Linked DNA regions of Callithrix jacchus. The protein of the gene in region 1 purifies or fractionates together with the protein of each later gene. This does not show direct contact. Links are inferred from orthologs where the notes say so. Each region holds a gene or a part of one and is shown on either strand. Other genes may lie near its edges.

Evidence for each region.
Region 2: the proteins of MLF1 (region 1) and DNAJB6 purify together in Homo sapiens (affinity purification with mass spectrometry; 3 studies listed by BioGRID and IntAct, counting the BioPlex papers as one, with this or other methods). This does not show direct contact. The link is inferred for Callithrix jacchus from reciprocal best matches to the Homo sapiens genes MLF1 and DNAJB6.

What each region holds. Positions count from the first base shown.
Region 1 is NC_133518.1:26,941,563-26,950,160, reverse strand, and holds part of MLF1 (myeloid leukemia factor 1), read left to right. Parts: intron 1-2,959; coding exon 2,960-3,107; intron 3,108-3,914; coding exon 3,915-3,959; intron 3,960-7,387; coding exon 7,388-7,471; intron 7,472-8,598. UniProt on the Homo sapiens protein: Involved in lineage commitment of primary hemopoietic progenitors by restricting erythroid formation and enhancing myeloid formation.
Region 2 is NC_133512.1:90,872,751-90,881,348, forward strand, and holds part of DNAJB6 (dnaJ homolog subfamily B member 6), read right to left. Parts: intron 8,459-8,598; coding exon 8,327-8,458; intron 5,246-8,326; coding exon 5,104-5,245; intron 4,250-5,103; coding exon 4,179-4,249; intron 1-4,178. UniProt on the Homo sapiens protein: Has a stimulatory effect on the ATPase activity of HSP70 in a dose-dependent and time-dependent manner and hence acts as a co-chaperone of HSP70. Plays an indispensable role in the organization of KRT8/KRT18 filaments.

The DNA.
Region 1 (8,598 bases):
AAAAACTAGAAACAGTTTTGTGATTATGATATTGATATTATCATATGTATGAACTTAGCAATAAAACTGAATGGACTGAAATATGGAACAACATGGATGAATCACAGAAGCATTATGCTAAGGGAAAGAAACAAAAGACGATATAGTATGTGATTCCATTATATGAATTTTGGAAAAGACCAAACTATAATGACAGAAAGCCTGTTCATGATAATTAGGGTTAGGAGCAGGTAATTATCTGCAGAAAAACGAGCAAACTTTTTGGGGTGATGGAAATGTTCTACATCTTAATTATGGTGGAGGTTATGACTCTGCACTTGTTAAAATCCAAACTGTACAACTAAAATTGGTAAATTTCATTATATGTAAATTATGCCTAAACAGGCTGAATGAAAACACCTGTCTACACACACAAGCACAAATCCAGTTAAGCAGTTTGCTAATCTTCAACTCACACTTGGAACAGTTATGCTTTTTTTGACTTCCAAGGTAATGTATGAATAAATCTGAGCTCTTTTGGAATAGGTTTATGTATGCAAATACTGTGAAATTCAGAGAAAATGTTCTTTCTACCTGGAATTACAGGCAGAAGACAGAATTTTTTAGCTTCCTCCTTTGAGCTGGAGCTGCAAGGAAAATTTTAGCTTCATGATGACATCAGAGGATTGGAATTAGAAGGAGAAAGGGTGACTTAAGAAAAATGTAACTGAAATGGAGAAGTGTGAAAGTAGGCCAGACTATTGGGAAGAGGGGGCTTCCATTGGACTGCCAGAAATCATGGTGTACCTTAAGTTCTAGAATGAGGAATAAGAAATTGACTAGTGCATCAGTAACTGTCCAGCTGGAACAAAGTTGGGAAACCATTGTGATAAAGTAAAAAAAAAAAATTTAGATTCTTCAATAAGACTTGTGATGAACAAGTCTTGGTTAACATCAGATTATAGTGTTGATATTTATAAAGCACACAGAATAGAGCCTGAAATGTGATCCTTGCTGTGGGTTTTTTTTGTTTTGTTTTGTTTTTTGTTGTTGTTGTTTTTGACAGAGTCTCACACTGTTGCCCAGGCTGGAGTGCAGTGGTGCAGTCTTGGCTGCAATCTCCACCTCCCAGGTTCAAACGATTCTCCTGCTTCAGGCTCCTGAGTAGCTGGGAGTACAAGCATGCACCATCATGCCTGGCTAATTTTTGTATTTTTGGCAGAGACAGAGTTTCAACATATTGGTCAGGCTGGTCTTTAACTCCTGATCTCGTGATCTGCCTGCCTCAGCATTGGGCTGGGTGCGGTGGCTCACGCCTGTAATTCCTGCTGTGTTTTTAAAATAAATCACTCTTTTTTTTCATGAGAGTATTAAATGATAGAATAATAGAGTGACATCCAAACATGAGTCAGGAAGAGGAGATAAGAGAAATTGACATTTATTCAACATATTTTCACTCAGATACTCAGTTTTGTGCTTTCAGATTCCACTATTTAATTTCAAGAACAGGGATATGCAATATTACCCTTATTCTACAACAGGAAATTTAGGCTCAGGAGGAGAGGCTCAGGTTCTAATTAATTCAGGAGGCACAAACACAGAAGGGATACTGTTTCTCAAAGGTCGTTGAGGGACTACTTGAATTAACATCATCAAGGAGGCTGGGTGCTGTGGCACCTGCCTATGCACTTTGGGAGGCCAAGGTGGGCAGATCACTTTAGCTCAGGAGTTTGAGAACAGCCTCGGCAACATGGCAAGACCATCTCTGCAAAAAATATAAAAATTAGCCAGGCACAGTGGCATATGTCTGTAGTACCAGTTACTTGGGGGGCTAAGGCAGGAGGATGGCTTGAGCCTAGGAGGTGGAGGCTGCAGTGAGCCAAGATCATACCACTGCACTCCAGCCTAGGTGACAGAATGATGCCCTATGTAAAAAAAAAAAATTATTAGGGATGCATGTCTACAAATCATATTCAGAGCAAGTGAATTTGATTGGGGTAGGGAGGGTGGCAGTGGTAGATAGGAATCTGCATTGCTAACCATCTCACTGTTGGTACAGATATTTTGGTTATGTGGTGATTCCTAGTATTTAAGAGTTTTTAGAAAGTTAGCTTCGTAAACATCTGTAGCTTTGACTTTGTCTATTTAAAAATATAGCTTTACAATGGTCATAACATAGCTATAGTTCTCAATGCTTATATTTCCTACATAAGAGTTAAAAAATAAACCAGTCAGTATTTATTAATCCTCTCTGGAATTTATATTATTGACTGCCCAAAATGGACTCTACCTGAAAACAGTATTTTTCAGATTACTTTATTTGCCATTTCTTTTAGCTTAAGCAACCTGAGACATGTTACTTTGTGTTTACCATTTTTATGCAATATGGGATAAAGGTGTATTTTTTATTATGCATTAAATGAATTATAGTAGATGAAAATAACAGGTTTTCATTAATTTTATTTATCAACATAGATGCTTCTCAACTTACGATGAGATTACATTCCAATGAAACCATAGCAAGTTGAAAATATTACACATCAAAATTCATTTAATACACAACCTACTGAGTATCATCGAAACATATACATTAGCCTACAGTTGGGCAACATCATGTAATATAAAGCCTACTTTATTATAAAGTGTTGAATATCTCATGTAATTTATTGACTACTGTACTGAAAGTGAAAACCAGCATGGCTCTATGGGTCCTTGAAGTACTGTTTCTACTGAATGCATAGTGCTTTCATACAACAGTAAAGTCAAAAAACTTTAACTTGAACCATTGTAAGTAGGGAACCATCTAAAAAATGGATCTTTGTGAGATAATTCTATCCTATTTCTGAATAAAATAGAATTCTATTCTATTCTTCTTTTATCTCTTTAACAAACATCCCAAAATAATTCTTTGTGGCATTTAGCTGCCTACTTATTTAAATTCCAACCCTGAATCTTTCTTGATTATGTATATTTTCAACAGTGAATCCATTCTTGCACACCAAGAAAATATGCGACAGATGATGAGAAGTGTTTCTGAACCCTTTGGAAGAGATTTGCCCAGTATCTCTGATGGTAGAGGGAGAGCTCATAATCGTAGAGGACGTAATGATGATGAAGATACTTTGACTGTAAGTTCTTTTTTTCCCAAAGACAGTTGGTGAGAAAGACCTGTAGGAATTTGAAGAAGAGTACTATAGAAGTATATATCTATAATGATATGATATAACTAATATTCTTGTTATAGAAATAACTTATTTAAAAGGGGGGACCTTTGGAAAGCTGAATCCTTGAATAGCGACTTGTCAGCAATATAGAATTCCACTGTGCTACCAAAACTTTGAGGACCATAGGGTTATATATTACAAGGCAAACTTAAAACCATTATTTTTTATATTTATGTATACATTTCTCACCTTATAATTTCCTCCCATATCTGAAACTAGAACAGGCAAGGAAATGTCCTTTCTCTCCCATACGAATTGTTTTAATACTTGAAAATAATATCAAAAGCTGCAAAGGATTATCTTTATTGGAATATAAAAAAGTTTAGGCAATATTCCATATGGTTACCTATGGACTTTCAAAGCTTAGATTAACCTTTAATTGTATCTCAAAAGTCTTGCAACTGCAATATATTTTCATGTGTCTTGCCTTAGAGCAAAGCTAGAGGCTACAAATATACTCAACTAAACATTTTAAAAAAAAAACAGGATATTTATACATTGTAACCATTATTTTTTGCCTCTTTTATTTCTGTCACTTTTTCAGCCTCAGGAATGATAGCTCTAAGATAACAAGTCCTCAGGGGTTTCTATAAAGATGAATTTCTGCAATTGAAATGTAGATATTTGAAACTCAGTAAACGTTTAATTGGTAAATTGAGAAACTTCTATATAATAAATGTCATAATCAAAATTAATTGGATATTTTTCCAGGCAATGAATTGTTCTCTTGTGCCTTTTGGCAGTTTTGGTGCTATGGTTCGTATCAGACACAAATCATTTTAGCAATATTTTCTGACAAATACTTATTTTTCATTAACTCTGACTGACTAAATTGGCATGCAATCTCACTTTCATAATGGCTTTTTAATATTTGTACTGAAAACCTCTGTTTCATGTATCAAACTTACCTTAGAAAGTTTAGGCACATGTTTCCTGAAGTAAGTCATTTCAACATATATAAAATTCATCTTCAAAAAAAGTAGATATTAATAGATGAATATTTGCTTGATTTACAAAAGGGATTCTCATAGTTGTGTTTGAAAGCTGGGGACTTTCACATGCTTATGATGACTTTCCAAAAGGTTAAAAAAAAAAGGTACTAAACTGTAGATAGATAAGCACAGCATTTGGAAAAGCACAGATTGACTGCTTTGTCTAGGATTTTGCTGCCAGCTTGCCATGCAGCTTTTTCTTATCTGTACTTAAGAATGGCTACTCTGCAACCAGCATTTCTACCACCTGTTTCTTAGGGTTTTTGTGCTGTGTCTGTGATGCTAGCTTCCAGCACACTAAACGCATTCTAGGGAGTAGCAGAAAATAACATGAATTTGGAACATTTGTATCTACAGTCTCATGAAAAGAGTTTTAAAAAAATTTTTTGTGCTACAGTTGCATTATTTGTTTCCTTGAAGTTTAACATACAGGCATAACATTTGTTCCTCCTGACCAGAGTATTCAGTAAGACAAATGACAAAAGCAGTTATAACACAGAGTTATGAGTAAAATGATCAGGAAGTTCAGCATGCTATGGGAGGGAGCACAGATCGGAAAAAGCACCTTTTGAGGTGGGGTGGGTCAATCCAAGTAGACTTCCTGAAACTTAAGGATTAGTAGCAGTTAGCTAGAAAAGGAGAGAGAGGAAAGGAATACTGTTCAACACAGAGAAAACAACCTGTGCAAAGACCTGGAGGCTAGGTAGCTAAAGTTGTTCAGAATCAATTAGCCCCAGAGTGTAAGTTGAACAGTAGACACTGATGATGATGAAGTGGTAACCAGAGACTTCTTTAGGCCATAGGAAGGAAAGTAAACATTATCTTAATAGCAGAGGAAGCAGTGATGACTAATGTCAAAGTGGTAATAGAGTCAGATTTTTGAAAGATTAGAAGAGACTACAGTGGAGGCAGTGAAGTCAAAAGGCTGTTGAAGAATTCTGGATAAAGTATTAGTGATGACTTACTTCTACTAGTAATGACTATGATGATAAAAATGAATTATTTCATTCAAGAGAGGGTTAAAAGGATGAATGGCTAGAACTTAGTGATTGGTAGGGTTGAAAGAGCAATAGAGAGGGAGAAGGGGAGTATCACACCCATTTTTCTGGCACAAAGAATGAGGTAGGAATGCCACTGAGATAAGGCATTGGTTCAGTATAGATGTAAGAGTGGAGTAGTCAAAACCATCATTTTAGTTTTGGGTGTTTTGCATTTGAGACATCTGGGGTTTTCCAGGGAGATTTATCTGGTAAACTATTGGATATATGGATTTGAGCTGAGCTAGAGATAATTTGTTCATTCATTCCACAAATATTTGTTAAACCCTCTTGAATGCCAGAAATTGTTATATATGTTTTGGGAATATTGTAAATAAAATTGACAAAATGGCCCTGTGTACAAAATTTTTGAAAGCCTTAAGGGCCCACTGAAGTCTCAACTCCATTTTGTACCCAAACTTTTTGTCACTCTAGTGTGTTGGGTCACCCCAGAGCAAGGGGTGCAGACACATCTTTTGGTGGTTGATTTGAACATGAATTGAGAAGAGGGCAGACATACCCCAATGTCTGATCTTTTCCTTTCTGTCTATTTCTCCTTTGGATTAACCTTTCCATATCTCATGAAATAAGAACGGATTCTCCGTCTAGCATTAAACTCTACTTCAGTCCTTTTTGTAGTCAAATATATATTAATACTTCCTAAATGTGCCTTTGTTGTTCCGAACTATATTAAGTGCAGGTTTCTAGGAGGAATTTGGTTTTCCCACCTATTTTCCATTGTTAATATATGTAAAAATCCAATAGCAATAGAAGGCAGAGGCACAAACAGGCCTTAGAGATTCAGCGCTCTGCTTGCTTGAACAGAGAAGTTCCTTAAACCAAGCAACTCCTTCTATTTTATAACAGATGATTTACTGGGTAACACATTGAAATGTGTGCTTGACTTTTATTTGCTGGCGAGTCTTCCAGTGATGAAACCTAAAATCAGTGGTAGATTTTCCTAGAACAAAGTGTCTTAACCTCAGCACTACTGTCATTTTGGGCTGGGTAATTCTTTGTTCTGGGACTGTCCTATCCATTGTAGGATGTTAAGCAGTATCCCTGACCGCCATCCACTAAATGCTAGTTACATGCTCTCCTCACCTGTGACAGCCAAAAATGAGTATAGTTATTGCCAAATGTCTCCTGAGAGTCAAAATCAATCTTGGTTGAGAAACTACTGTTTAGAGGAATTCTTAACTGTTTTTCTGAAGAAGCATACCTCATACTTCAAGGGTGTAGCCTACTGACCCTTCAGTAGGCAGAAAATTGAAGGCCTATTTAGTAAAGTGAATTGATTTCTGTCACCTGGATCCTACTATGAATAGAGGAAGGCTGTCTACTTACCAGAGGGGCAGCTTCTTTGATCCTTGTAGTACTGGTGGGGGTGACATTGGCATCTTTTTTTTTTTGAGACAGAGTTTTGCTCTCGTTACCCAGGCTGGAGTGCAATGGCGCGATCTCAGCTCACGGTAACCTCCGCTTCCTGGGTTCAGGCAATTCTCCTTCCTCAGCCTCCTGAGTAGCTGGGATTACAGGCAGGCGCCACCATGCCCAGCTAATTTTTTGTATTTTTAGTAGAGATGGGGTTTCACCATGTTGACCAGGATGGTCTCAATCTCTTGACCTTGTGATCCACCCGCCTCGGCCTCCCAAAGTGCTGGGATTACAGGCTTGAGCCACTGCGCCTGGCTGACATTGGCATCTTATACCCAAGTTTTATTTATTTGCATGGTGGAGCATTGAGAGATAAGGAAAATTATGAAAACTATTCTATGCTAGAAAATATATCACTTAGTATTTAACATATACCAAATTCTGTTTTGAAAAGTGAGCAATGAGTGATTAGGTGTATGTGTGTATTTGTATATATATGCGCATGTATATGTGTATATATACACATGTGCATATATGTATTTATAATGTTACAATTCCCTAATTATTTGTATGTTGCCTCTTTGGGATTTTGTGTATGCTTCAGTTTTCTCCTTAACTAATCGCTGTTATTTTATGCTCTTTAAGTTATCTTTGTCTGGTTGATTACTGCATGAGATTCTACTAAATGAATAAAAAAAAATTTAGCTGTTTTGGAAGATGTATTTGCATCTTTTGTGTTGTACTTATAGTTGATAACAAATTTCCTGATATTCTATAGCATACAGATGTCAGCCCTTTTCAGACAGTGGACCAAATGTTGTCAAATATGAGAAACCGTGTGCAGCAATTAGAAAGAAACTTTGTAAGTACTAAAAATAAAGCATTGAGAACATTGTGTATACTTTGGTATATTATATTTCATAGTGGCTTTCAAACTTTTTTAACCATAGTGGTTAAAAAGATATTTTACATGATTAACCGAATAAGCAATATTTGTATACTTTATAAATGTATTTGAAGTAAAATTTTCATGAAAAAAATGACTATACTCTTTACAGTATATATAGTTATTTTCTGGTGTATTTCATGTTTTAAAAATCCTGGTTACAACCTACTAAATTGAGTTCATAACCTCCAAGTTTGAAAAATAATGTTGACTTTCAAAATTTAAAAAAAATTTGGAAAAAAGTTAACCTCAAAAACATTGAATCTACTGAAAGTCACTATTGTAAATGAACATTTTATATGAATTTGCATAATTTTATTGGTTATTAACAATAAAATTAACCTGTTTAGTTAAAAGGATTAATATTGTTAATATTAATAATATTAACCTGTTTACTTAAAAGGATTTGTAACATCTGAAGAGTTATGTTTTAGGGTTTTATAAATAACTCTGAAAACAGAAATTTTGGGAATGTTGTTTAGATATAAAACCCTGATAGTTCAAATACTTATAAACTAGTACTATAGTAATACTCTTTCTTTTCTACTTAACATTAAAACCAGTCACTTGATGTGATCTGAAGAAGACCCAAATCATTCTAGTCATCCAATTTGAATTCTATGGATCATTTCAGAATGCCCAAATAATCTAGGGCATTATTGGTTTTAGTAATGTAGCAATCTGGCATCTACAGGAAGAGGTATGAAACTTGATGTATAACTAATTGGCTTGATTGGCAAGATTACACAAAAGGGTCAACCACTGAATATAGAAGTGTCACAAGTTTGGGGGCATAGCATCTTTATTGAAATCTGAGCCACAAGCACCCAAAGACTTAAGGATCTCCGAGTGAGACATAAGGCAAGCGGGATGGTACCCAAAATGGATGACCATTAGGCCTCTAGGGATGCCTTTTTTTTTTTTGTGGTAATTTTTCAAGTTATTTCTCACTTGAGAACCTGGATGTGCCCTTTGGCTACACCATATTGGTAGTTTAGTATCCTTAGGCAGAACTTACAGCTAGTGTTGTTACTTATTTGAAC
Region 2 (8,598 bases), on another chromosome or scaffold:
GGAAAAGCAGTCAGGGGTCTCCCGACTCTGCAACTTACCCCGGTCACAAACGTCAGAGTCGAGTTCTTAGTGAACAGTTAGGTAAGAGCGACTGACACCCTGCAAAAAGGCAGCAACTATGGACCATGACACAGAAGCCAGGCCTTCTGATACCCAATCATAAACTCCGCCGTCTCCGGAAATCAGGGACATCTAGATTTCTAACAGAGCAAGAGCTGCCGTGACATTCCCTCTTCACCTTTCTAAACAGGAAGACGAAATAACTTGGCCAAATGACAGCCTTCAGTCTATCCCATTTCAACCACTGGGCATACTGTAGTACCAAGGTCTACATCCTAGAACAGCTAGGAACACCATATCCAAAGGCCTAGAAACCAAGACCCCAAACGTAAAACGATCTTTAAAATAACAAACGGCAGTGGGTTATGTAGTTCAGCCCCCTCTAGACGCTACAGTATCAACTCAACGTAACTTTGTGCTTGAAAACCTCCAGAAATAAAAACATCTGCCTTGGTTCTGTTACTGAACATGCTAATGGCTAAATTTCAACACCGCTGCCCATCAACAGCAGGTGACATGACAAGTACTTATTACTGCTGAATCCTCTGCAAATAAAAATGTTTCTAATGAATTCTATGGTGCTTGGGAGAAAAACAAGATCAGTATTCCCGGGAGAGAGAAACGATGGCTAGAAGGTAATCAAAACAGAGTAAGCAGGCATTTTCAAAGCTTTAATTAATAAAAAGAAATTAATATTGACCGGAAAGACACCCACCCCACAGTGCCCCTCAGGCATTAAGGCACTGTAAGGAGTGCTCCCTTCAGCACGCCAGGTGCACAGCTAAGTTTAGCAAATGTTGACGCTAACTCCACCCGCCTCTAAAATCTTCTCATTGAAGAACTTCCAAGAGGAAGGATGAATAGCCCATGATGCCACTGTTGACAGCTTCCACAGATAATTTAAAACCCTTCCTGAGTCTCCAACTGCAAGGAATACGAAAACACGGTAGAGATGACAAAAATACAGATTACTGAGCCCTCCAGACAAAAAGATGCCAAAGAGGGACGAAAAAACTACACTGTAGGTACAACATACACTGCTTGGGAGAACTAGCATCTCAGAATTCACCACGATCTAATGCATGACGCCACCAAAGACTGCTTACTTGAAAGTTACTAAAACATTTTTTTTAAATAAAGAATTTCAAAATAAAACTTCAAAAATAATCTCGAACAGGAAGTTTGCACACAACCAAACACAGCAGACAGCACACTGGTCTGGATGGGACCACATGGGGCTGCGCACATGCACATACCCACCGCCGTTTACCAAGGAGTGTTCATTCAGCTTCCTATTTTCAAAGGCACTCAACACTAGAGACTGTCGAATTTACCAACAACTGTGATTGACATTAAACGCTATTACTCTCCCAAGTCATCACTTACTTAAGTGACGCTATCAATGCTCAAAGCATGTTCCTAACTTTTCAGAGCTGCTCTCACGCACACTTACACACTTAGACTGAATTATCTAGAAATAACTTAATAGGGTTTAAAAATCAAAGGTGTAAGATTTGAGAGCAACAAATATGTTTCCTATTCTATTACTAACTTAATAAAATTACACTTCTATGAATGGAAGAACAGAATAAAACTTTCTCAGCCAGGCATGGTGGCTCACGCCTGTATTCCCAGTACTGGGAGGCAGAGGTGGGTGGATCACTTGAGGTCAGGAGTTCCAGACCAGCCTGGACAACATGGTAAAACCTTGTTTCTAATAAAAATACAAAAATTAGCCGGGTGTGGCAGCACACACCTATAATCCCAGCTACTCGGGAGGCTGAGGCAGGAGAACCGCTTGAACCTGGGAGGCAGTTATAGCAGAGGTTACAGTGAGTCAAGATCATGCCACTGCACTCCAGCCTGGGTGACAGAGCAAGACTGTCACAAAATTTAAAAAAAAAAAAAAAAAAAGTGATTTTCTCAAATGCAAATGAATGCTCCCTCCCCCTCAAAATTCTCACCAAAGAGATACCTTAGGAGTCAAACGCACTTTACCAGTAACATCACGTTGAGCCTACTGTTCAGAGTTGCATAAAACACTCCACAAAGTCCAGAACATCCACGCGTTTGAAAATGCTGTGGCAAACTTCCTCCTAGCTGACTTCAACATTACAGGACAAGGCTTTTCGTTTTTACGTATTCTTTCTGGATGTCTCGAGGCTGCTGCACTGACTTATCCCACGCACTAACGAAAAATATAAAACCTGAAGTCCAGAGCATCTACCTGAATTTCTCATTTAGTAACAAAGAAGCCACCTGTCCAGGTAGCATAAACAAAAGGATGCTCTATAACCCTCCGATTCCAGTTGTGAGGTGAGATTTACCACACTAGAGGGCGCTTCCTGTTTTCCTGCATGTGCCATGGCTGCATACCTACCTCATCCAGAGATGCCAAGTGCCGCGTGATACAACACAGACAAGCACATCATTCGTGTTCTTCTTGTAGTTCAACTGTCCCCAAATACTTAACTGTTTCTATGCTGTTTTGAGCACCTATGAAATTCCTTACATTTCTTATTTTGGGTGACAGCACGTCAGGTTCCTTAGAGGCTCTGGCATATCCTGAGCAATCTCCATGCCCTCCTGCTATGCCAGCACGGACGTGCTGTTGTCAGGGCAATGTCTATCCTTCTAGTAGCTTTCACACTGTTTAGTTCCAAAACAAAACAGAGTTTTTTAAATTAAAAGTCTAGTTCAAAATTCACTATGGCTAGAATTCTAACTACTAATGGTAATCAAGAAAGATACTACAAACTGAGAAACAAAATACCTTTATTTTTGCTCACTCCTAAATCATTCCATGACTGTACCATACATACTGTCCATTAAGTGTTTTGTGTTTTTTTTTTTGTTTTGCGAGACAGAGTCTCCCTCTGTCACCAGGCTGGAGTGCAGTGGCATGATCTCGGCTCACTGCAACCTATGCCTCCCGGGTTCAAGCAGTTCTCCTGCTTCAGCCTCCTGAGTAGCTGGGATTACTGAGGCGCCCACCACCACACCCAGCTAATGTTGGTCAGGCTGGTCTCGAACTCCGAACCTCAGATGATCTACCCACCTCGGCCTCCCAAAGCATTGAGATTACAGGAGTAAGCCATCGCACCTCACTCCATAAGTGAGCTTACATCAATCAAATCCTAAAAACTAGAACATACTTTAAGAGTGAAAATTATAAAGTAGTTTCTTCCCACCCCTGTAGAAATGTTAACTGTAATTAAATGTTTAGTCGATTGCTAAATAGGAACTCACAATATGAAAATCTTCATATACTCCAAATATACTGAAGAAAATGTCTATATGTAACTGAGGTGTGGCATCCACCGGAATGAACATCACAAAACGCTATGGAAGTGACACTAGGGAAGCCCAGGCACAAATCACACACGGACACAAGAAGGCTCCAGATCCCACTCAGGAAGAATGCACCAACACATTCAAATTTATTTTCTTTTTTTTTTTTTTTTTTTTTAAGCAAATGACAAACACCCGGTTTACCAGCTTTACTTTTTTAAACCTAAGCTTAACATTACATATTTAAACAATTGTCAAAACTTACTAAGTTGCCAGCATTCATGCACAACTAGAAAACATCCGTAATTTATATTAAACCAGAAATGTATTACCGTTAATGCATTAATATCTTTCACTACTAAATACTGAAAAAAATGGAAATTATTTCTGTAGAAGATTCGTCCTGGCCATGTTAACTTCACAGCAGGCCGACGCTACGTGGCTCACAATTTCAGACACAATGAAAAGCAGGTCCATGCTGGTGTTAGTGTACAATCTTGTCCTACACTAAAGAGTCAAGACTCACCTTGGAGTACGTTTAATAAAAAAGCAAAGTGCATACAGAGATTTACAACAATTTTAAAGACAAAAAAAAAATGGTCCTATTATGTGGTCCCAACAATAAACTCAAAAGTCTATGACAAATAGAGGCTCCGATGAGCTGTTTATAAATACTTTAGGTACAATTATACTGAAAGTCGAGTTCGTTTGAAATCTTCAAAAAAATGTTCCTGTTAATCCTCAAATGGTGCTTGTTATAGTTTAACATTTCTGTTAAGCGCGTGCGTTGAATTACTTGTTATCCAAGCGCCGCAGCTGCTCCTTACCATTTATTGTTAAGGACTTTAACTGGCCGTCTTCTTCAACCTCTACTCTTTCTTCACCATTCTCGACAATTCTGTAGGAAAAAATTCATTTAAGAAGCTTTTTGGTAACATAAATACATGTGTGAGGGTAAATAAGTATGTTTTAAGGACATTACTGCAGTACACCATGAATATAAGTAATTTCTAGGCTGAAAAAAACATGGCTGAAGCCAACCTGTGAACAATACATCTTCCTTTCCTAAAACAGAATTATCCTGACAAAAACAAATTGTGTCTCTGATATTCACTCATTCAGCTGTTCAGGTGAATGTTAAATAAAGGCACAGATAAAACAGGAAAGGCTTTATTATTGATTTTCCATTTTACCATTTTAACACTGCCGCGGAAACTTACTAAACACATTATTACACATAAAATACGGCTCTAAAGATTCCTTCTAATAAATCAACTTTAACTAAAGAGAAAAAGCCTTCATGAATGCATCTGTAGAGTAAACGGTTTTTCACGGTGCCAGATGGGGCACACAGCCACATGTGTGACTTCACACTCTGGGAGATGTGGTGCCAGATCCAGCACACTGCCACCTGTGTGACTTCACACTGGGAGATGTGGTGCCACATGGGGCACACAGCCACCTGTGTGACTTCACACTCTGGGAGATGTGGTGCCAAGATGGGGCACACAGCCACGTGTGACTTCACACTCTGGGAGATGTGGTGCCAAGATGGGGCACACAGCCACGTGTGACTTCACACTCTGGGAGATGTGGTGCCGGATCTGGCACACTTCACGCTCTGGGAGATGTGGTGCCACATCCGGCACACAGCCACGTGTGTGACTTCACACTCTGGGAGATGTGCAACAGGGCACCAGTGAAACGTTATGCCTGCTTACTAACAATGTGCAATACCGAATGCTACAGTACCTCTTTGTAGTGATTTTTCTGCCATTGACTATTTTAGTTGAAGTCGATACCGATTTGAAGTTGCCCATCCCACTACCAGCAAACGATGCAGAAGAAAATGAAGTGAGGCCTCCGTGACCCAGTGACCCAAAGGAAGTAAATCCTACAGGAAAACAGAAAAGAAAATGCTTAGAGGAATATGTCAATCACTACTGCAAAGATTAGAGTTTGAAAATTCACTAGTAGATTATCTAACGTTAAGACATGGAACCAATGAGTAACACACCAGGCACTAATAAGGCCTCCAGTGAAGTGCTGTGGTCCCAGGGGAAAAGACCCTCTCAAATCCCTCAGCGGGGGTTCCAGGGGAGCACGAGCGCCACAGAGCTTCAGGGCAGCCCCTCTCTGTCTCCTCACACAGACCGTCAGTGCCAACATGCCACAGGCCGGCCCTGCTCGTGGGTGGTCTGCTTGGCACGACAGAGCACGTGTCATCTGCATTAACGTTAACCTTTGAACCAGGACTGGTATTAAGCTCTAACCAGCAGACCAGCCTCAATATTAAGCTATGTTGCCTCGGCGTGGCCTGTCAACTCCACGGGCTGTGATGGATATCCTTATCCGACACCAACAGAGTAACCTCACCACCACAGAATAGCAAACCTAACTGGCTTCCCTTTGCTTTGCCACAGGACCACAGAGAATAAGAAACTAACTAAAAAAGCTCATTTGAGAGGGAATGTTACAAGCATTCATCTGAAAAAGCTATGGTTCTACAGTTCACAGGCACCATTCTCAATTACACGTTATGGACGCAATCACATTGTGGACACTAAAAAGCTTGATACATCACACTAAAGCAAACTCTTTTTGGTATTAAACCTGGTCTACTGGTTAGAGTTGAATACTCACGTTGCTTCCAAAATGCTCACATTAACACAAATGACGCATACTCTGAACATGATTCATCATCTACGCCCTGACACTGTCTAGCACTCATGGTGTCCTGAAGAACTATGTGAGCCAGGTATGTTAAGTTTACCTTTTCTAATGAGTTCACTAAAAAGCAGAAACTAGTGAAATTAATTTCAGTATTGAATAGAGTATATCCAAAATATTTCAGCTGGAAATTTAAAAAATCAAAATTGTTCGCCGTATTTTACACTGCTTGCCATGCTCAGTCTTTGAAATCCAGTGACTGTTTCACACTCGCACTGATCTCCCTGTGGAGTCGCCAGGCCTCCAGGGCTCAGGAGCTACATGTGGCTGGTGGCTACTGCGCTGGTCTAGATGAAGCCTACCTAAGTATTGATTCTTATGATACTTTGTAAGGCACCTCAGAAGTGGGGACAGCTTGCTGCACAACAGCCCCACACAGGAGCCACTGAATACTTTTAAAAAGGACTATTTACATGGTATTTTTAACCTGTGGTCAGCATATTGCATCCTATCAATGAGAGGCTCTGTTGAGGGAAAGCACATCTGAACTGAGGTCCAATCGAGCAGACTTCACTATCTGCCTAGCTGCATGAGCACAATGTTGAAAGAAAATAAAACTCTGACCTTATGAGGGCGGAATGCTGTATTACAAGCTCTCCCAATTCTTACCGTGAAGGTTTAAACATAAAAATGAGAGAATCAAAACAACAGCTCCAGGCCACATGTGGTGGCTCATGACTGAAACCTCAGCACTTTGGGAGGCCGAGGCAGGCAGATCTACCTGAGGTCAGTTCAAGACCAGCCTGGCCAACATGACAAAACCTGTCTCTATTAAAAATACAAAAATTAACTGGGCCTGGTGGTGCACACCTGTAATTCCAGCTACTCAGGAGGCTGAGGCACAATAATCACTTGAACCCAGGATGCGGGAAGTTGTGGTGAGCCGAGATCATGCCACTACACTAAGAGGGCACCCACTAAAAGTGAGACTCTGTATTTAAAAAAAAAAAAACCAAACTCCTCTGTGAAGAGACACTGGATGAGTTTGAGAGAAAAGTGGGATTCTAATTCTTCAGGCTTAACACACATTTTCATATTGCTCCAGTCTATGAGCAGCGTTTCCATCAGTGGGACACTCCGAGGATGCTACCCATTTGTGTACTTTCATTTTAACTGCAAAGGAGGTTAGAAAGCATGAAGGTTAGTTGAGATTTTCCAGGTGCGTTACTTTCCATATACTAACCCAGAATATACATTCTTTTAAACTAAGAATTTCATTGCATTCTCATCCTGCATATCGTATTCACAGTAAGATTTCCAAGGACAATCGTAGGAGATTAGGAGAAAATGGAGGTTATGCAGCGCAGATCTGTGCACCAAAACAAGCTGGCAAATTCTACAATGCTATGCTGCAGAAGGAACACACAGGCCGGGCGCGGCGGCTCACGCCTGTGATCCCAGCACTTTGGGAGGCCGAAGCAGGTGGATCACTTGAGGTCAGGAGTTCGAAACCAGCCTGTCCAACATCGCGAAACCCCATCTCTACTAAAAAAATAAGAACATGTCTTCTGTGGATAAATTATATCATGTCATTTAACAACATTGAGCATTTTGATATGTGTTCACTGAATTTTAAAAAAAACCTTAATTTCATTATTGTTGACTTTCCCCTCTTTAGTTTTACTAGCAATGGCATCCTTTCTAGGATTAAAAACATTTCATACTAAAAAAAAAAAAAAAAAAATTCTAGTTCTCTTTCTATTCCTGCCACATCTGCATGATTTCCTCCACTGAAGTTCTGAACTCCTCAGTCACCCGTGAGGAATGGAATCAACTTCTTCCCAAACTACTGCTCAGGTTGATACTTTCACCTCCTTCCTTCCATGAATCACACTGTTCTTAATGCCATCTAAAACTATTGTTTTTTTTTTTCCCCAGAAATTTTTTCATTGACTTTGCCCAGATCCAGCAAAGGAAAAACTATCTGTGACAGCTAATGTATTATAAAATGTATTTCTTAAGTAAGACTTGGAAGTCAAAAATTAGCAGGGCATGGCAGTGCATGCCTGTAATCCCAACTACTTGGGAGGCTGAGGCAGGAGAATCGCTTGAACCTGAGAGGCAGACTTAGCCAAGATCATGCCACTGCACTCCAGCCTGGGCAACAAGAACAAAACTCCATCTCAATGGAAAAAAAAAAAAAGAATACACGTATTTTAAAGTGCTCTAACTAAAAGAATATTACCCTTATAAGTACTAACTGTTTTTATTAAGGCAATAGAGATTAAATCTAGGGATTTAATACCTGTATCAAAAGAAGGAAATGCACTTCCAAAAGATGGAAATCCACTGAACGCAGAGAAGAACGCCCCCGTCCCTCGGCTTCTGCTTCCTCGGGGACCCCTTCGATTCCCAAAGAACTCCTCAAAAGGGTCTTCTAAAATCAAACACAAACACACACGATGAAGTCTTTTTTCCAAGTTTTTTTCCTCATGGGATAGCTACAATAAGAGAAAATAGATGAATGTTTTTTAACATATTCAGAAACAAAAATTTAGAAAACAGGTAGTAACAAAA